Drosophila melanogaster: one gene and its partners. The protein of the gene in region 3 interacts with the protein of the main gene of each other region in a pairwise test. Each region holds a gene or a part of one and is shown on either strand. Other genes may lie near its edges.

The links. Proteins that work in one complex are often made in the same cells at the same time.
Region 1: the proteins of Adk3 (region 3) and Theg interact in a two-hybrid assay, tested with the Drosophila melanogaster proteins (one large-scale study listed by BioGRID).
Region 2: the proteins of Adk3 (region 3) and tgy interact in a two-hybrid assay, tested with the Drosophila melanogaster proteins (one large-scale study listed by BioGRID).

What each region holds. Positions count from the first base shown.
Region 1 is NT_033777.3:22,011,548-22,017,955, forward strand, and holds Theg (testicular haploid expressed gene), read left to right. Parts: upstream 1-3,149; 5' UTR 3,150-3,280; coding exon 3,281-3,759; intron 3,760-3,832; coding exon 3,833-3,932; intron 3,933-3,993; coding exon 3,994-4,213; intron 4,214-4,279; coding exon 4,280-4,542; 3' UTR 4,543-4,665; downstream 4,666-6,408. Other genes in the region: Idh3b (isocitrate dehydrogenase 3b), read right to left, coding at 5,441-5,671, 5,794-6,375.
Region 2 is NC_004354.4:19,123,260-19,130,742, reverse strand, and holds tgy (twiggy), read left to right. Parts: upstream 1-3,426; 5' UTR 3,427-3,438; coding exon 3,439-3,983; intron 3,984-4,279; coding exon 4,280-4,388; intron 4,389-4,455; coding exon 4,456-4,737; intron 4,738-5,098; coding exon 5,099-5,284; 3' UTR 5,285-5,740; downstream 5,741-7,483. Other genes in the region: CG15882 (uncharacterized protein), read left to right, coding at 6,467-6,943.
Region 3 is NT_033778.4:7,240,952-7,248,771, reverse strand, and holds Adk3 (adenosine kinase 3), read left to right. Parts: upstream 1-2,995; 5' UTR 2,996-3,470; coding exon 3,471-3,550; intron 3,551-3,628; coding exon 3,629-3,784; intron 3,785-4,256; coding exon 4,257-5,121; 3' UTR 5,122-5,748; downstream 5,749-7,820.

The sequences.
Region 1 (6,408 bases), on a different chromosome or scaffold from region 3:
CAGATTTGTACTCTTAGCCACATAACCGATACGATACAATAGCCACTTAATTAGGATCGATCATAGCCAAGCAATAGAATCAGATATCAGATACAAAACTCAGAACCGGAAACAGGAAATCGTCAATCGCGAATCGGAAAAAAGAAGCAGCACCAAATCGAACTGCAAAGGCAAAACCCCAGTATATTAATAATGGGAAGAAAAACATAATGAATAAAACCAATTTTTATTTCAATTATTAACTTATAAACACAACAACAACAACCACAGCTCCACACAGTTACAGTTACAACAAGAACAACAACAATAGCCCTAGAAAATAATATTCATAATTAATCAATCAATCAATCCGTAAAACCAACAACTTCAATAGTTATAAGCAATTGGCGTCAAAAAAAAAAGCGAAAACAACCAAAATCTTAGCCAGGCAAAAGTTTTGAGCATATTTTTCATTATTTTTACAACAAACAAACAAACTGATGTAAGTACAATTCATAAAATTAGACTTTCGGTAAACTATAATAAAGAAAATAGAGCAGAAAATAACATTTTTTTTTTGCATTACATAATTGCTACAAAATTCAAAAACAAAGAACGATTTTTTAGTGGAAAACAAAAGCCAATAAGCAAATAAAAAGAATTCGCATTATTATTAGCAATAGCCCATAAGTACAGCAAAGTGTATTAGCAATAAAGCTAAAAAAAAAACACAAAAGCAGAGATTTTAAAAAGAAACATAAAAGTGAAGAAAAACTTAAAACTGCAAGAAAAATGTGAAACCAATTTGTTCTGCGTTGAAAAAGAAATCCAAAATAAATATGTTTTATTTGATAAGTAATTTATAAACATATTACAATTTCGCTTAATTTGATTAAATGTAATAAATACATTGTAAACCTTAAATTAATATTTACAACAGCAAAATTTCTGTTTAGTAAGGCGTGCATAATTGTTATTATATTTACACAGACACACATAACTAAGTTTAAGTTTATAATTTTCGTTATCTTTATTATTTACTTATTATGTTTTAAACGCAAAAACAAACCAGATATATACAATATATTTACGAATTAAAACGTTTATTAATAAAATGGAAAATATTTTAGTTAAACCATTCGTTTATCGTTTGCATTTATCATCAGCACAGGAGGCTCTCCGTTCACACACATTGCAGAATATAAGAAAAATCGAATATGAATATTAAATTAAGCACCGTCTAACAATTGCAACAAGATACTTAATACCATTATACGCAATAGTTATAATTGACAGATGACACGAAATATGAATAAACTGAACAATAGCCCAAAGTAAATATTGGCCATGGTAGCAGGTGGATAAAAACCCTAAGCCCTTCTAACGTGGCCAATATTTGCTCCATTTTCACATGCAAGAGATGAGCAACAACAACAACAACAACAACAATATCAATTGGCACTCAACAGATGCAATTCCCAACAACAACAACAACAACCATAACAACAACAACAATAAAAGGCAATTGAAACTTTAGTTTCGGTTAATTGAGTTTGATTTTTAGTTCAGTTCTTTAGTTGATTCTCACCACTTTCAAAAATATGTTTCGGCTCCAACCCACTTAAAAATTTTGAAATTTTCCGAACAAAAATCAAAAATGGCACCAACTACACAGACGAGCCAAAGGAATCGTACATCTAAACTCAACACAGCTTCAGGGACCAACTAAAAGGAGAAATGATTTAAACTTAAATTAATGAAATTACTAATGAAATCAATGGTAAATCAATACTAAAATGTAAACACACAAGCACACACGACGTGTGGCGTTGAAAACTAAAGCTAAATCAAGTTTTAAGGCATATCTTGAAGACGAGACGAAAAATCAAGTTAAAAATTGCGAACAAAAATTGTGAAAAACTATTGCAAAATTATGCAGACCCGGAAAATCGTATGTGTGTACATAAATGAAGGAGCAACCCTTTTGGTAATCTATATACATATATTATATACATTTAGCGTGTCAAAAAGTAAACCTAAACTTTAGATTCTAAAGCAACAAAAAAAATATCTAAATGCAGTGAAAACTTCAGGCCATGCAAACTTTGGATAAATTCTGATTAAAATTATATTTGTAAGTCAAAATCAAATGTATACGATATGAGAGGAAATTAACAAACTAAAACTGGATTAAGTGTAAAAAGAACATACATATTTCGATGGCAAGCAAAAAAAAAAAAAAATTGATTGAAAATGGAGAAAACCCCAATTTACATAGAACTAATTATTATTTCGCTTTGGCGTTGACCTTTTGTGTATATAAAAAAAAGCGAATGCCAAGTGGGATTCTCAACAAATCGAATATCAAATGAAAAAAAAAAACAAACAAACCAAATAAGGTAAATTCAAATTAGCAAAATTTTTGTCAACCAAAAAATGACCTAGTAAATGCTAAATTCAAATTTATAGTACATATTTGTGTATGGTATGAGTGTATTGCATAAGTTCGATGTGGGTGTATAACAATTATTATTAACATTATGCTTATCCCTTTCGTTTCCACGTTATGTACATTTTGTTCGCAAGACAAACGAATAAAAAAAAAACGATCAACAAATTTGAAGCCAATAATAATGAACAAATAAGAACATGTGCTGAACTGCTGAATTCCAATTGAATTGCAACCAGAGTAAGGAGATACATTACATTAACCGAAGCAAAAACATTGTAAAAAAGCATAAAAACCAACCGAAATCAGTTGAGAAGAACGTCAAGGAAACGGGCAAAAATTGCTTAAGAAATGGATGAGATTTGTGTATATGTGAACAGAATGAGCAAAAATAGAGGGTATACGTTAGCTGTCGGAGAGCAAACTAAAAAAATTAACAACTTGCCGATGGGACAGTCGGAAAACAAGGCCCAAAAACAAAACTATTAACTTGTAATGATGTGAACTTGGAGCATACTCTCAGTATTTTTATGAATACTGTCAATAAAACATTAATTAAAGATTAACAACGTCTTTTCATTGCCATCGGGGTTAAGTGGATAAAGCTTAATTTTGAAATTAAAATTCCAGCTTAGGTAAGTATTAAAAAATCTTGTCTAATAGCGAAAAATGTATGCATTTCATTTGCTGTCAAATTCCAAAATTTCTGTACTTAGTTGCCACAAAAAATTCTCCAGATGAAGTTAGCTTTCAACTCGTTCAGATAATCGTAGATGTTTTTTATCATAAGCGAATAAAAAAGTTAGCATTAATTGGTTTAAAGTAGTGCGTCAAAATTCGGAAATCCACAGAATGACCATCCAAGGACTGAAGTGTGACCTCAGCCCGACGGTGACCACTTGTCTGCAGCTGAAGGACTGCGTCCGTCCGGACTGCTGTCCCATCCGGGACCCCATTCCCTACGATGCCGAGTGCTTCGTTAGGGACATTGGCCAGGAGCTGGACAAACTGACGCGCCGACACGAGCGCATGTTCGTCAAGCGGCGGCGTCTGATGGAAATGGCCATACCCAGGCGACGCACCTGCCGCTTTGTGCCGAAATGCGCCTGCTCATTTCCCAAGTCCATCGAGATGGTGCGACCATGTGACGCCCAGAATCACACACGCACCGAGCAACTAGCTCTGCCCACGGTCCGTCGATTGCTTCACAGGCGGCGAACGGCCATTCTGGCGGGCGACTCAATTGGGGAGTCCATACTGAACAGATGGCTTCGCTACAGCTATCTATCGCTGTACAGTCGTCTCACGAATATCCAGCCGTTGGTTAAGCCGTAAGATAATATATCTATCTATCTTATGTTCATTCATTATTATTTATAAACCCATTATCCTTTGTGCTTGCAGGAAGAAAAAGAAGAAGAAGACGGAGAAGCAGCTGGCTAAGCACGAGAAGTACATCGAAAAGTTGGCGAAACCAAAGAAAGCACCAAAGGTCCCGAAACCGGTAAGTTAAAAAAAAAACTAAATTCAGCTAAAAACTGATGATAATCCCCCATTTCATTTAGGATCGTGGAGCTGGGGAGTTCGATCCCGTGCGTCTCAATCAGCTGGCCAGTCCCAAGGCCTATTTGGAGGAGATCAAACCCAAGTGGGAGCTGACCTCCCAGATGAAGGACTACAAGGCGACCAAGCGGATCAAGCAAATATCGCAGCCCGTCGTGCGCGATAATGTCCACATCAACGAGAATCCGGAGAAGGTCTCGCCCAATGCCCTTCGCTACAAGCGTAAGTACACATACTCCAATTTAGTTGATCTTTTAATAATGCAGCACCTGGCATTGCTTCACTTAGCGAGTGCCCGCATCAAGGAGATGTCCGAGCCACTTACCACGCGCGATGCCAACCAAGGACTGGCGGATGTCAAGGAGAATCCATTCGGTATCGCGCCAAACGCGCTCAAATACAAGGCGAGCACGCGGATCAAGGAGCTGGCGGAGCCCAAGGAGTTCGAGAACACGCATATCCGGGAGAATCCGTTTGCCATATCGCCGGCGGCTCTGAAGGCCAAAGCCTCGCCACGCCTCATCGAGTTGGCCAAGCCCAAGGGTGGATAATAATTGGAGACGGACGTGGACTGTGCGTCTGGATAATCATTACCGTCCTTATTGGTGTTCTAAGTTTTTCATTTCGGCTACATTTGGTATCGACTTTTCTAATAAATTTGTTTTTGGTTTTTTAAAAAACAACTAGAGCTTTTCCGGCTCTTTACGGGATTGGATTTCCTGTGAAAGTGGCGCCGGAGTTGGGAATAGCGATGAAATCTCCTTTGGCCTTTCATTCCAGTCAAAAAAAAGTTTGAGAAATATGTTTGGGTTTTTTTTTTTATCTTTTGTTTGTATTACTTAAAATTTAGACAGCTCGGAACTGACAATGGCTTTTAAATAATAATTAATTTAGATTTGAGTTTATTGTTATCTTTCTCACAGCTCCAGTGGAGTGGGTCCACTCAAAGCCATCCGTTATCAGTTAATTGGTTTAGCAATATCATTTGTTTTCGGTTTTTTTTTTTGTTTTGCTTTTCAACGGGTTAAACATAAAATATAATTCGACCGTAAATTAGCATCTTTGCGAAATCAAAAAGGGGGGGGGGGGGAAATAATACGTAAATAATTACAACATAATCAAGGATCGATGTATTACTGCCAATTGGTAAAACTAAAGAATTCGCAACTTTTGGATTCGGGGCGGGTCTGCAGGCGTTTCAATTGGACTAAACTTAAATATTCGCCGGAAATAATACTCAAATGAATGCACTGAAGACATCGGGACAAATAAAAAAAATTGGACGTAATAGGATAACTAAGAACTTTCAAGGTGTTTCTTTCAACAATTCAAAATTTAGCTGTGGCAACAACAGAAACTGTCTAATGTCGATTATATAAGCGCCAACGTTGTTGCCCATGATGTTGTAGACTTGCTGATCGCGATGCCGGCGATGACAGTGGTGCCCATCTAGGACATGTTCAGGATGATGGCGCGGGTAAAGTCCTGCGTGGTCGATTGTCCGCCCAGATCCTTAGTACGCACCTTGCCATCGTTCAGCACCTTGTTGATGGCATTCTGGATGATCTCGCCGTAGGTGGGCAGGTTGATGTGGCGCAACAGCTTCACGCCGCAGAGCAGCATGGCAGTGGGATTAGCCACGTTCTTGCCCACGGCCTCGGCGAAGGTGTGACGTGCACCCTGCAATCGGAAATCGGTATTAGAGATAAGAATAGTCTGAAGTGGATTCGCACAGCTAGGCTCGAGAACCGTGTAAATCACGATCTTATGGATTATCTTTATGTCTTTATGGCGAATCTTACCGGCTCAAAGACGACGGATTCCGAGGAGTAGGAGGCACCAGCAACGACACCAGCACCGCCCACGAGACCACTGGCCAGATTGTCCACAATGGCACCATAGAGATTGGGGGTGACCATCACGTCGAACTGGTTGGGATTGGAAACCATCTGCATGGTCGTGTTGTCCACGATCATCTTCTCAAACTGGATGCGCGGATAGAGCCGGGAAACCTCTTCGCAGGAGCGTAGGAAGAGACCGTCGCCCAACTTCATGATATTCGCCTTGTGCACGGCGGTGACCTTCTTGCGCTGATTCTTCGTCGCATAGTCGAAGGCGAACTTGGCAATGCGCATGGACTTTTTGGCGGTGATAATCTTCAGGCACTCCACAATGCCGGGCACCGACTCGTGCTCCAACGCCGAATACTCGCCCTCCGTCTGCTCGCGAATAATCACCGTGTCGATGTTGGTGTGGCGGGTCTTGACACCGGGCAAGCTGCGCACATGCACCACATTGGCGTAGAGGTCCAGGTCGTTGCGAAGCTTCATGTTAAGGGTCTGCAGGTCACCCACATTGCTGTAGTCGGGTGTGGCCAAAACGCCCTGAAGGAGCACATTGTTTAGATTTTATCACAC
Region 2 (7,483 bases), on a different chromosome or scaffold from region 3:
ACCTCTTTTAGCAAAAGAAGTGCTTACAAGTATGCTGCGATATGTGCGATTCTAATCCTTATGATTGCGGTTATGCTTATGAGATATATTGCTGCATACATACTGCATAACACTTCCACTGATGGATATTGCACAATGTTTAGCTATGGAAAGCGCATTTCAAATCTGCCTAACAATATGAGCCACCCTACTTCCTTACGTGTGTTTTGGATGGACCGTTGTCATATCAGTGAGCTAAAAGTAACCGCACGGTGCTCACAAGTATGCAATGGCATTGGCCTCCCCCCTGCAGCGAAGGACTTCGGGAGGGTGGAGGACCAGCTCCCGGATCCAGGGAAATTCGCAGATCGCAGGTCCCAAGTCCCGGCCACCGGATCCGAGCCCCAGTTCCATGTGCATTGGCATTGGCGGCGCCCGTCAGCGTTTTCATTTCAAATTCAAATGCTGTTTGCATAAAAAACGAGCCAAGACATCGAAAGGCATCACGTGCCCAGGAGTCGGTTCCTCCTCGCTCCATCCCAGTGGAATGTGGGGCCAAAAAACAAAAAAAAACTGCTGGAATTCAGTAGTGACAATAGCAACAAACGGATGCCGACAGCGATATATGAACGAGCAGTGGATGCACAAGAAAAAAATCATTTTAAAAATTATTATATGGAATTATATTGAGTGAATGGTATTTAATATATTCGATTCGTTTTTTATGAGAAAGTATGTTTTCAGGAACTAATCTATCTATACATATAAATATATTATGCTATGAAATAAGGTTTAACATGATTTTATGATATTTGTCTAAAGTAGTAATATTTACTTAAAAACTATTTGAGCAGTTGGCAAAAGGATTTATTAAATTCTCCAGCAAACAATATGAATAATAATAGTGCTTATTAGTTCTTATTTATTCAGTTAAGTTTCAAAATAGTACAAAATATGAGTGTGGTTCGCAGAGCCATCCAATTGAGTGGGTTAAGTGGGTGGAGTGCAGCACTGGTGTCGTTGGCCTCCAAATCCAACAAAAAAAAAAAATCGAATCGAAATAGCGAAAGACGTTTCACTGTGGCGGAAGTGAGATGAGTTGAGGTTCAGAGCGGGATGGCTGGAGGACAGCCAGCTGCCGGTCGTTTTGCATGTCCGTGTTGGGTTAAGTGGATTGTTTACTTTGATTACAAAAATATGGCAAATGTTTGCACGTTTGATGTCTCACTGCGTGTGTGTGTGTGTGTGTGTGTGTGTGTTCGTCGGTGTGCTTACGTGTGCATGTGTGTGGCGCAGACACATGCATTGGTTGGTAGTGGTGGTGGTGGGAGTGAGAGAGAGAATGAGCGATCTTGATTATATAGAATCTTAGATTGATTTCACAAAATATCCTATCTTATCAATCATTTTTCATGCATTTTTCTTAAGTTTGACTTTTTTCAAAAATGTGCTCAGTTCAGTTGTGTTTGAATACTTCAATTTATTCAAGATGAATCTTTTCACGCGGTCATCTCCATGGCAAACAATGCACACACACACACTCATATTTACATACAGAACGAAAGAAAGAGATGGAAAGGAGCGAATGAGACGGGGAGAAGTACATTCAGGCAGCGAGACAAATGGCGTTTGCCTTGGCGCGCTTGTAAAATCCGAAAGCTAACATTATTACAAAAAATCTGCAGTTATACATTTGACTTTGGTTTATTTTTGTGATTTGCCCAGTTTGCAGTTGACCAACCAACCGACCGACCATCGCAGGACTGCCTGTTTGGCTGAGTTTTTATTGTATTGAGGCTGCGGGAACCAGATGGAAAGGAACTGTTGATTGTGGGGCCAGTGTCGGCCGAAAAGATGGGATTGAAAGGGGGGGGGGGGGAGAGTTAGGAAATGGGATAGGTCAGGAGAGAGGAGACAGGATCCAGCTTCTTTTGTCCTTTAAATTGAATTGCCACCGAAGTTGCAGGGCAAAATAGTTGAACCGACATTAAACAATGGAAGAACGCGTTAAGTGGTTCTTACATACATACATTTAAAGTAAATTGTACCGGGAAAGTAATGGAGTCTCCTCCGCTGGCCAACGCCCATGGTCGGGCGGACCCACAGCCCATGTGGGTCACGTCATCGGAAAGGTCAAAGGCATTTATCAGGCCCACTTGGCACCCACTCCTATTTGCATTTCATGTTGAACTGTTTGCCCAGGCCAAAACTAATTTTGACATTCGAAGAGAAAAAAATGCGCGAGCAAAGCCGCCGCTTTTATTGGAAAAATTTGTATTTGTTTGGGCAATGGGCAATGGTAGAAATGGTAGCTGGTTTCTGCTTGCTGGTGGCAAATCGCAGCGGGGTCACACGCCCACAATGCCAAATAGTTTTCATTCTTAGCCGCTACTCCTCACCGCCGCTGGCTGCATTTTATTTTATTAATGGGAATTTGTTTGCCAGCGCAGGCGGATTGGATGGTTACGGGGCGCGGGGTGTAGGATGCGTCCAGGATGCGACCAGGATGCGACCAGGATGCCGCCTCGTCGCTATTATGGCAGCCATTTGTTTGCACGCGAGCATCCGAGTGCCGGAGCGTCGGAGTGCTGGAGTGCCCCACAGGGCGTATGCGCTATATTATTTTTCCCGCACTGCTGGCGGTCCTTGCCAGTGTGCCACGCCCACGCCTTAGTCCCCCCCCATCTTGGCAACGCCACTGAAAAGCGTCCAGCAACGACCACATGTCGCTCATGATTAATTGAAAGATTCTCTCAACTTCAACTGTTTTCGGGTTTTGCGTTCACCCAACCCCCCCCCTTTTAGAACTCACTTTTTTATTATTTCTATATTTTTCCTTTCGAGGTGCTTGTTGCTCTGTGTGCTTGTCCCAAGTGTTTTGATTAATGAACTATGCTGAGTGAAATTTAAACAAATTTCTTAGTACAATCCAAGCTGGCAAGCAATTAGTTTGGACCACTAAAGTTTTTAGAGTTTTTAAATAGATAGTGGCTTTTGGTACCTCTCTAAGCAGCTTAACTGTTACTCAATAATATATCAATATAATATTTATGATTGTGGATCAGGAAATACGCGCAATTAATTACATTAATTGTTTATTTATTTTTGTCTACTGTTTGCCACATGTACGAGTATATGTTTTTTTTTTTTAAATAAGGATTTCCATTCACCTAGAAACCATATCAATTAGTGTATTGCTATTTCCGCAGCTCTGGTGCAACTTTCACTCACTCATTTTAACTCTGTTCTGTGCATGTTACTCCCTCTCCCTCCCTCTCTCTCTCTCTCTCTCTTTCAACCTAGTAATAAGACTAATTGAGCGCACCTGCTCGTCGATGTTCCCGACATAAGTATTAGTTCTGCCAGCCACCTTGTCTAATCTGGGCCGCATTTTCCCGGCGATAAGACCATTTTCGATTGGTATAGACAGTGCTTACGATGCCGCAAGTCAGTGTTTCAATGGCCGGGGAATATATCATACTGGAGAACTCGTCGACTTATCCGGGCTTCCATTCCAGTTCCAACGGATTGGCGAATGGCATGTACCGCTCCGCCCAGCGCATCTCCACCGATCGCCTGGTCCTGCTCATTCTGCTGGTGAGCACCACGGTGATCGGGCTGTTTGCCTACTGGGATGTAATGGTGCTCAACGCCGGCGCACTGCCACTGTCCAGAGGCACTAGCTCTGTTGATTACATGGAGCCTGGACTGCGCAACGAAACCCTGGCCGAGAAGATGCATCGGGAGGTGAGAGTCCTGTGCTGGGTGCTCACCACACCCAAATACCACAAGACCCGGGCCATTCACGTTTTGCGAACGTGGGGCAAACGCTGCAATAAGATCTACTTCATGACCTCTGAGCCGGATGACGAGCTGCCCACCGTTGTGCTGACCAAGCCGGACCGATACGAGATGCTGTGGGGCAAGACCAAAGAGGCCTTTGTCCACATCCACGAGCAGATGCGCCACGAGGCGGATTGGTTCATAAAGGCGGACGACGACACGTATGTGAAAGATTCAGATTCTTAAATAGGGAAAGAGTGGCATTTTATTGCAGGAATTGATAAGTGAATGGATGGTTGTTTTCGTCACCACAGATACACGTACATATGTATATATGTATGTATGTATTTATTGAACATTATTATCATTCTGTTTTACCTTTGTGGTGTAACTACTGATGGTATCTCAATGTTAGGGCCACAGCCAAAACAGTTGAATGAAGAATAATTAGGAACCGATAAAGAAAAGATAGCATTATTAAAGTTTGACTGAACTTTCAATCTGCTCCTATCAATAGCTACCTCTTTTTGGAAAATCTGCGCTACATGCTCTACCCGTATTCACCGGAGACACCTATTTATTTTGGATTTAATTACAAGATGGTCGGCACTCACCAGAAGAACGAGGTGAGTTTATCTTCTGTCCGGTTCGGATTACATTACAAACTCACTGAATATGAATCCGATTCAATAGTCATACATGTCCGGCGGCAGTGGCTACGTACTGAGCCGCGAGGCTCTTAGGATCTTCGCCGAGGGCGTCAACGACACCACCAAGTGTCGCCAGGAGGACGATCACGCCGAGGACGTCGAGATGGGCAAGTGCCTGTTCAACCTGGGCGTGAAGGCGGGTGATTCCAGGGACGAGCAGCTGCGCAACCGCTTCTATCCCATAGCTCCTTATGGAGCCCTTCTCTCGGGCAACGTTGGCATGGACTTTTGGTTGTACAAGTACGCCTACTACAATCCGAGATCGGTGAGTTTGGATGCATTTAGCACCCTACTAAAAGTACGTTTGTATGTATGTAGATATATGAATGAATGCACAGCTTACCCATCCAGTACCTTTTAACAATCCAGCAAAATAGAAAATAAACTCAAGTGTCACAAAGACAACGCCATATTTTGCCAAGCACTCATATTATTTAGTCGAACGTAATCATCATTCTTCGTTACCAGAAAGGTGGTGGTAAGGTGCGTTCGTCACTGGCTTATAACCGCGTGAGGAGGCATTTTATCTTTGATATTCAAGCCTCAACGTATAGTTTTTCCACCTTCGTATTCGCATTCCTTGTCCTCTTTTGATTATTATCTAAACTATCTTCGTATTCTTGCAGTGCATGGACTGCCTGTCGGAGTACCCGGTGGCCTTTCACTATGTGCACAGCAAGCAGCTGTACGTGTACGACTACTTCAACTACCAGTTCCAGCTCTCCGGAAGGGCGCAGGTGGCGGAACGGCTGCCCAAGAAGATCCGGGAGGAGGAGCTGGTCATCCCCGAGAGCGACAATCCGGTGTCCTAGGCAGGAGCCAGCCATTCTGCCACTTCAGCAGCAGCAATCTCAAGTCCATATCTACATATTTTCCATCCTTTTTTTTTTGTGTGTGCTTATCGTGTATTTAATATATTATGGGCACAAGGCGAACGTGCCAAGGCTGCCAGATGCTGTCCTGTTGCGACTCCTTGTCCTTGCCCGATCCACGTCCTAGTTTATCTATTCATGTATTTATTATTGAGCAGCTCGTGGCAGACGGGCCACACGAAGGCATTAAAAGGATAATGGAGGGCTACTGGGTGGACATTTACTCTTGATTTCCAATGAGGATTTCAAAAAGTTGCATATCTAGAAAAATGAATTAGTCGCAACTATAATGGTATGGCTGCACTATTAACATTGTAAGTGTACGTACGAAATGACTGCAATCTCTGATCTGTTGAATGGTACAAATTAGAGTTGCCAGCTTGAACTTTGTTATGCCATAATAATCTTAAACTCTATAAATGATTGGCTTTACAACATATGTACGCAAGGAAAATAAACAGTTTTCTTTAGAAGCCTAAGGCGTATGAAATGGTTATACTTCTTGTACAGTTTTCAACAATCTACAATGAGTAAATGAAATAATAATGGCCACGTGGCGTTGAGTGGCTTAACTTACCGCAACTTGTTTCAAACCCTGGTAACACCTTTTAACGTCATTGTGCAACACTAGTACTAGAAATCGAAAAGCAAGTACATATTTGTTACTTTAAGGCAAATGATCAAAAGAGTGATTTTACTACTGCTGACATTAAATATGTGGATTATTATATAAAACACTCGATTCGAAAAATCGAATTACTTAACTTTTAATACTGGAAATAAAAATGATCATAGAGCATATTATTTATAACAGAATGTGTATAGTTTTTTTTAAATTATTTTAGCATTGTATTGAGTACAGTCAAGTGTTCTTTGCAAAAGCTCTGTTCCTATTCGAATTTTTTTTTACACATGCGGGCACACTAATTGGTATTTAAGTATGCCCAGACTTTTAGATCCAGTTAATCAGCTATTCGTTGAATGATTCTCACTTTATCCTTTACTTTCTACACGATTCAAGTGAGCTATTGCGAAATAAATTAAAAAACCAACTTTTCAATCTTCTGGGAATATTGAATACTGAGGAAAACCCTAAATTGATTGCTGCCGAAACCCAGAAGGATGGAGAACATGAACAAAGAACTCGCGAATATGGAGAAACTATCTTTGAAGGAGCTGCTCAGTGAGGACACACTCTCTGAATTGGCTACCCCGAATGATGTCGACATTGCCGGCGAGGAAAAGAACCTCGAGGGTCAATCTGTTTCGAAGGAAGATCCACCGCCTGCGGCAGTTGTACCCAAAGCGACCAAAGCGCCCAATAATCCCGAAGCGCTAACCCAAAAGCAGAGTATGGACTATGCGGCACGGATCGTGAAGGTCATCAACCTACAGATGCAAAATGTGGTGCATAAAACGTTCATGATGATGCAATCACCACTCCCTCTCCGGAACAGGCTACCAGTGGTCGTGTCCACCATGATCCGCTCCCGTAGGGCACCCAAGTTGAAGCTCAAAGATGTGAGGAGAGTGATCACGGGCCTGGCGCTGCATCGTGCACACCTGGTCTACGAATATATTATCAACCACCCCGAATAAGAAAACTTCTACATATGTTAACTTAATACAATAATTAAAAAATCCAAACACTCGCCGGCTCTAGTTTAGTTTAAAGTTCTATAGAACAAGGTTCATCGCACGCATACTACAATATATTACTGATGAATATTCAGCTAGTTTTGAACGTATTTGAAATATATTCGGCTCAAATTAGGCCTAAAGCTGATGCTTTTCAATTTATTAACTGAGGAGCCACTTCAGTTCAGTGGGTCACTATTACAATTATTCATTGGCTTATCCCTATAAGTCCACTTCAGAGCACTTAAGTCTCATTCTCGCAGGCAGCTAATTAAGGTCATCGCTCCCTGCGGCTCACCCCAAAAAATTTGGGTGAAACACTGGCATTCCAATAGTTCACATTCCCTGGGCTAATTAGGAAATTAGACTACCTACCGGCCGACATTTTGTGTTTCTTTGGAAAAGTCGGTAGAGTCGCGTCAAATGCGAATCGCATACGAATGGCAGTGGAATCAGAATGGAAATGCGAATTTTGCCTAAAATGCCGAGAAAAAATTGGAC
Region 3 (7,820 bases):
GTAAATCGCAATTTGCTCATCAAAATTCGAACAAAAATTCGTAAATAAATTTCACTTGAACGGTTTTCTTAAATTTAGTACATACATTTCGCCAGAACCCCGTGAATGGACCACTAATACCTGATGGCTGATGGCGAGCAACAGGTCCAAGTGTGTCGCATCTCGGCGACCAACGCGACGTATGCGCAACTCGCGTATACTAGGCGTATGATTAACGAATGACCTTACTTACCCAAGTTAACCCGAATTTTATTTCTGGCCAGGCTTCGCACGATCTTATTCTTTTTGCATTTGGCCAGACGGCCGGACAAACAGAATCGCATGTCCAAACACAAAGGGAGTTGCTAATCAATTTATCGCGGCATTCCAATTTTAAATTCCCCCCCTCCGCGCTGCACATTCGGCACGTGGGAACGTGTCGGAATCGCCAGTCGAGATCGCCACTGAGTTTTATCAATTGAACCCGAGAACTACGCCATCCGGCGGAATTTCCAGCTCGCTTCTCCTAAGGGGTTCAACTACCGCTGGCCGTGCACTTTAGTAATTAATTATTACTTTAATCGCCGAATCAGCATAGGTTCGCAGGTTTTGTTAAGGCTATAAATAGCACCTGAAAATCGATGCCTACATATGTATGTACATACATACATACATGTGTTTTGGTTTTTTGGAGTTGAACAAACTGCTGAGCGTGCAGCGTAGAATTGAAAACAATTCCTGGGCAGCTGCAGCATGTAATTCAGCAAGATTTACGACAAAAAAAGTAAAAAGCTATGAAAAGTATACAACCCTAAAGAAGGCAAAATAAGAAGGGTTATATTTAGGTTAAGATCACTTGTTTTCATCTGTGCATCTGGGCAGGTGATATGTTTAACTCAACCCAACCAAGCTGATAGTCAGCCCATGATCATAACAATAACATATGTATGTAAATATGTACATATATATGTGCATGCAATTTGAAGAAGCTTCTGGTCTTTCAATAACATACTACTATGATTAAGAGTAGGGTGATTCGAATTACTGACCTATGCATGTATTTAGACCCGAAAACATAAACAACTGTCGTGCTTATGAGGGGCATACCTGTAGTAAGTGGATCAGCCGCGGAAGTGCTGAAAGTTGGAAATCGCCGACTCAGCTACGAATTTGCGCGCCAAATTCGCCTCGAAAGTGGCCAATGAACCGCGGAAATGCAGTGGCATTTTGGGGGTTTTCTAGCTAAAACCGGACAGACATCATTGGTCATCTGTTCGCCCAATACTTGTAATTATGAAAATATCATTATAAAAAGCATATTTTATATTTGTTATGCTTAATAATTGACCCATTCATAAAAATTATACGCATATACGCAAATTATACTAATCGTAGTACTTAAAAATTGCTTATTTTACCGTTTCTAACCCCATGTGATATTTTTCAAGATAATCATACTAGTGAGTACCATTTTAGCTTGTTTTATAACAAATATGCATATCTATTACTTAAATACGCATTTGCAGTGACAGAAAATAAAACTATTGCCTTGTCATTCCAGCGCGGAATTCGAGTTGTCACAAGTGCATAAAGGGCACCACTACAGCATTTTCTATTGCTGCGGCGAACGTGCGGATTAGAAGTTTTGGTTCTTCATCCAGCTTGATCCGCACGTCACAATCGAACCCAAGGAATTCAGATATTTTTAGCCTTTTGCGTGGGACTTCAATGGCACCTCTGCCCGTTGCTTTTGTGTGCCATGCCACCCAGTTGTGTGTGCAACATGCGCCCATCACATGTGAAGCCACCACATTGGATGGATTTCATTGCTGGCTTATTTCGAGGGAGAATCGTGGAGCCCACGGAGTGATCGGGCATGGATCGGAGGCACTTCGCCGGCGGTTGCCCCACTGCTGAGTCACGCCGGCGCAGCACTAAACTGGGCCCAAACCCAAACCGAAACCCAAATGCCAAGCGAAGAGCCAAATGAGTCAAAGAGTCAAAAGAGAGTGGGAACTGGTTTTTGAAGAGTTCCCCCACATTCGGCATTCGGCTATCGGCATTCCATTTTAGGCCGGTCCAAAGTCCGCAAGTCTGAGTACCTGCAACCGGTCACCAAGCCACCATGAATGGCCGATGAATGCCGCCCGAATCCTCACGTGCACCAGCATCACGCTGGAAAACGAGATATCTCGCGCCGGCGTGGAGGTCTCCAAGGTGCAATTTTGTATGCAGTGCGGCTATGCTGGGGGATTTCCCATTTGGCTGCGATTGGCTGCAGGGAAAACCCAGTTTCCAAAAGAGTTCTCTGCGAAAAACCCCCAATGCAGTGCAGTTTATTTTTTCGATGCGTGGTTTTTCCCACTCCAAACCAGATACCATAATGTATTCTCTTATTTATCGTGGGGCTTTTGGCAAGGGAGTTTCGGTTATCTGAGCGAGCAACGTTCTTTCCAAATAATTAGGTCTTGTCTCGCATTAAATAATATTGCGAAACATTTGGCAGCGCCTTTCGAATAATGGCGAAATGATTCAGCTGCTCGCTGGTGGGCAGATGTACATCACTTGCAGGGCTGAATTCTTTGCACGATGGTAAACTTGTTTTGAGAACCTGGTGAAATTAAAAAAAAAGGAGGGCAAACAAAGCTGAAACTGAAAGAAAGCCATAACATTTCCGCAAAATGTGTGTATTTCGTTATATATTCCAATTGTAAGGTTCTCTACTTTTTAAAGAGTTGTTACTAGAGCTCAGGTAATTTCAATGTATATGTTTACAGATACTTCGATTTTTATTTATTTACAAAGAAAATTTTTAAAATTTCTATCTGACATAACCGGTTCGATTTGTTCGCGCCGGATGACAGCTCTGTCAAGTTCTCTCTGGCTCTTTCGATTCCTAAGCTTTTACCCGATTAGTGCTTTTTTCGCCGGCAGAGCTTTTCTTGCACTCAATTATGCTTCTTCTTCCCTGTAAACAAAACACGCTCACAGCTGTTTCTTCCGCACTGAAGTGTTGGCAAACGTCTGAATATTACACGCAATATTTATGTAATACGCTAAACAATTAAGTCGCATAAATTATAAAATAGTCATTAGGGATAACTCGATGGCATTTGTGGAGCGCGACTTTGAGTCACCATAGTGCCGCCGCCAAGTACGATAGCCACAATCTGAGCGCCAGCGCAGTGCCAAAAGCTCTGTGTTGTTGAAAAACTCGACAAAGTCAAAAAAGTCGAAAAAGTCAAGCTGCTCTTTGTAGGCCGCTCGATACAAAGGTAAAAAGAAGTTGGCCCAAACAAATTGCCCGAAATGGGAAAAAACAAATCGAGCACGCTGGCGAGAGCGAGATAAAAACACCGGGACAAACCGGCCCGAGCGTTCAGTTCTGTGCCGGACGACAAAAGCGGCGGATCACTGTTGGATTTCATTTCATCCGGAGCACTTGCGAATAGAACGCGAAAGTCCCGAGCAAGCGTTAGTTTTTGCATACAATGGAGTACCTGAGCTACGTGTACGAAAAAATCTTCGGGGGCAATCCTCCCACGGATGACACGCAAGGGGCTTTCCACACGTGAGTATCAGCAGTAGCAGCTGAGGCGGAAAAACCCGGCAGAAAACACCTCTGACCATTGGGCTTTCCCACTTTCAGGCCCCGCAAGGTCATCTGCTTCGGCAACGTCCTGCTCGACCGACTAGTCCAGCTCGAGGATCCCCAACTCCTGGAGCGGTTCGGCCTGGAACTGGGCTCCAAGGGTGAACTGGACATGGAGAAACTCAACCAGCTGGCAGCGGAGGCTTCTGAGAGGTGAGTACCTTTGTATCTTGCCCGATTGTTTCATTATCTTCAATGACTGATTGTAAGAAATTGTACAATTGGACCCAAGTTATGGTTTTTAGTTAGACTGATTTTACATATAAGTAGTATAGTTAAGGTCTTGCAAGTATAATTAGTATCACCTTTCAAAGAAATTGTGAAAAGATACAAAGAATGAACAACAAATAGGACTGGGGCTACAAAGGCTGTTTATACATAGCACTTTTGTACACAACAATCAATCTTTACTTAAGAAGTTAAGAAGGGCCTTCTTTCTAATCTCTAATGACAGCAAAACTGGTTTTTATACCTGTACGAAATCGTCTTACGAAGTAGGAAATGGAAAATGGCAAAGTTACACGGTTATTCTAAAATTACAAGGGTTTAGTTAGTAACTACATACATACATAATAAACAACCTTTGCAAAGCTATACTTACTAATCCGAGTTCAATCCAATTCAGCTCTCGGTGCCTTACAAACCCGGGTGGCTCTGCCCTCAACACTGCCCGCATCCTGAAGCAGCTGGGCACAGACGCGCTCTTCTTTGGCGCCGTGGGAGCCGACAAGCACGCCGAGGAGCTGCGCCAGATCATTCGGGATCGCGGCATCGAGGCCAGGCTGCAGACCGTCGAGGATGCGCACACAGGGCAGTGCGTGTGCCTCATGTATCAGGACAACCCCACGCTGTACGCCAACATCGGCGCCTCGGCTCAGTTCGAGGTGCAGACCCTGAGCCACGCCGTCAGCCACGAAGGCCAGAGCTTCCTGCGACCGGTGGAGCGCAAGCAAATCCTGTACGTGGAGGGCTTCTTTGTGCCCCAGAGGAGTGATGTGTGCGATTACATAGTGCAGCACCTGGTGCGGGAGCGGCGACGCCTGGCTCTCAATCTCAGTGCACCCTACATTGTGAGGAAAAATCACCAGGCTATGATGAAGCTGGCCCGGGCCGCCTTCTTCCTGTTCGGAAACCGACAGGAGTTCGAGGCGCTGGCCGAGGCTGCGGGTGGGTTCCGAAACGTCGACGAACTGGCGGATCATCTCCTGCAATCCGGTGGCACCAAGGTCATCTTCGTCACCAACGGCAGTGCCGGCGTCCAGGTGATCACCAACTACGTGGAGGAGCTGGCTCCTCCCGGACCCGTAAGCTTTGAGGACTTCAGGGCGCAGCGCGTAGAGCAGCTGGTGGATGCCACTGGGGCCGGAGATGCTTTTGTGGCCGGATTCTTGCACGCCTGGCTGGAGAAGCGCTCGCTGGGCGAGTGCATCCGAATGGCCTCCAGCGTAGCCGCCAAGGTCGTCACCCAGGTGGGCTGCAATCTGCCCTAGACCGACGCCGTGCATCGCCACCTCAGATAGCGCACAACAAAGCACCAAAGTAGACTCTTAGCTTGTAATTATTCCGGTAATCTCCCCAAACCTTAGGCTTAGTCAAACATTTGTCCACCATTTCACCCAAGCAATGAACTTAGTCATAATGTGACTAAATAAAAATGATTTATACATCGTCCTATGAAAGATAATAATATTTCTGAGTGACTATATGTGACTACATTTTATAATATATATAGCGAGATTCCTATTGTATGCAATTTTTTAACATTTAAATATCTTTTGATAGTTCTATGTAAACAGATGTTGCTTTCTCAAAAGACAAAACAGATTTATCTAAAACCAGTACATATGTATCTATTTGTAGCACATTGCCATTAAGAATTTGCGTTGACCTTCAGAAGAGCGCAAAGATAAAAAGTGAAATAGGGTAAAATGTGCCCACGTCTAATCAAGCCATGCCATGAAATCACCGGAAGACTCTTTTTAATGGTTAAATATAGATTCGAGAGCATTGTTTTGCGCACAGTGGGTTGAATGCTTACAAATTATTAATTTCGCTGTAATACTTTCTTAGATATACCATTATTCATACTTCATTATTTGAGCAAACATAAGTAAATCATTTTTGACACAGGCCGTCGTTATTTAGGTATACCTTTATATGTAAAATCACGTATTAATTATTCATTAAGAAATGAGAGCATATATATAAAAAAGTAAGTACAGCTGGTGATTGTTCGACCTCGATAGCCTTATTAATACGACTGTGTTATTCACTCGATCGCCGAAGTTCCCACTGGACTGTGGCATTGTGTGAATCGTCATCCGAATCCGTTATCACACACTTAATTCCCCCTGAGATGCCCTAGTACACATCTTTATGCGCATTCCTCGAGATGCTTTATTATCCGCAAAGAAGCGATTCTCGTTTCATCCATCTTATATGGACCGCGTACATCCCACACAAGTCAGTCAATAAGTGACGACTTGGCCCAAAGAGAACTCGCATGCACAGATGCCATCAAAGCGAATTCCGCCTTTGTGCTGGCCGTGGGGTTTGGCTTGGGGTTTGGGCCACATGTTTGCGAATCGTTAACAAAAACTAAGCCGCATTTGGCATGCTTGTGTAAGCAGGCCAAGGCCTGGGCCTCTCCCAGCTGCTGCCGGAGGAGGAGTTGTGGACGGGAAGCTCTCGAAACCATAAAGAAGTCCGGGCTTAGGCCGAAAGCAATTCCGCACTTTAAAGGCCAATTCCCGGATCAGCGTAGTGAGCTGGCTAATTGGCAAGGAGCCGCTTAAGAGAGCCAAGTGGCAGTGGCAAAGTCAATATTGACACACCCACCCACCTAATCGAGTGTATCGGGGTTTTGGTGTCCCACCTACTTAAGTCTCAGCACTCGCCCTGTTAATTACTCGATATTAATTTTATAGAGAACCCTTCCTTCCACGCCACTTCGATTGCCTTCTATGCTGTGGCCATTGGGTTGGCCAACGCCAGTCCTTTGTCGGGTCCGTAATTAATGTCATCGTGTGGTTTACGGGGTTAGCAGCCACTCGGGCAACCCCCCTCCCTTCGATGTCTGCGTGTGGGTAATGGCCGATTTCAGACTATCCCAAGGCTTGACTGAGATCCTCGCCAGCATGTGATAATTAAATGTCCTCATTTGCCCTGTTTAGCATTTTAATTTACAATAAATTGTGCTTCGGAAGCGGCTGCCTTCTAGGTAATCAACGAAGGAGTACACTAAGAGAAAAAGATATCTTAAATAGTTATATAGTTCCAGCAGCAAGAAATTTGTAAAACTAACTAATATATTCTTAAATGTTCGATGATGCTAAGACTTTAAAATATAAGAAATTGCCTAATCTCTTAGGAGTTAAAATAGTTTCTGCTTAGCTGAACTACGTGATTGAGTCCGTTTTCTTTCAGTGTAGAAAATGCACAAAAGCTTTTTGCGACCCATTTGATTTATGTGCAACGCTGCGTATGAGCAACCAAATGGGGCAGCTGTAACTGACATTGCATATTTGTCCTCCCACTGCCCTTGTCCCTCGCCCCTCACCCCACACATCCCCCTGTCCCCACTAACTACCTCTGTGGAGCATGTTTGCACAAAATATTGCGCATACGCCGCCAGTGGCCAACCTTCTTTGCCGCTCGGTTTTGTCCTTTTGCCTTTTGCGGCATAACGCGCGGTTAAGTGGCCATAATGTGTGCCTTTATGGGCTTGGCATTGGCATTGGCATCGGACTCCTTTTTGGCTTGGTAACTTGGTGGCTTGGCGGCCCTTGCCCCATTTTAATTCCTTTGCCATATTTGCTGAGCCAGCATTGTTGCTGAATTATGTTATGCCAGTCGGTCGGTCGCTTGTTGATTTTTATATTGTTTGTTTTTTTTTTTTTTGTGTCTGAATGGGACTGGTTCCTGTGCAGATCCTGTGCCTGCCCTCGTGGACTTTCTGTTGTCCTCGTCCTCGCATGATAAGCGAACGACCAGAATATTTGGCTCCGGTATGTTTGCTCAGTTGTTTGCGGATAATCCGGTTTTATTGTTTAATAAGTCATGCCGGCCATCGCTCCAGACTGCCCGTCCAGCCTGACCGACCACCCCTCCCGATTTTCCCAGAGTGTCTGACTGAAAACGTTAGCGGCTCGTTGGCTTTTTGGCTTTTTGACTGCCTGTGCGGCGGAGC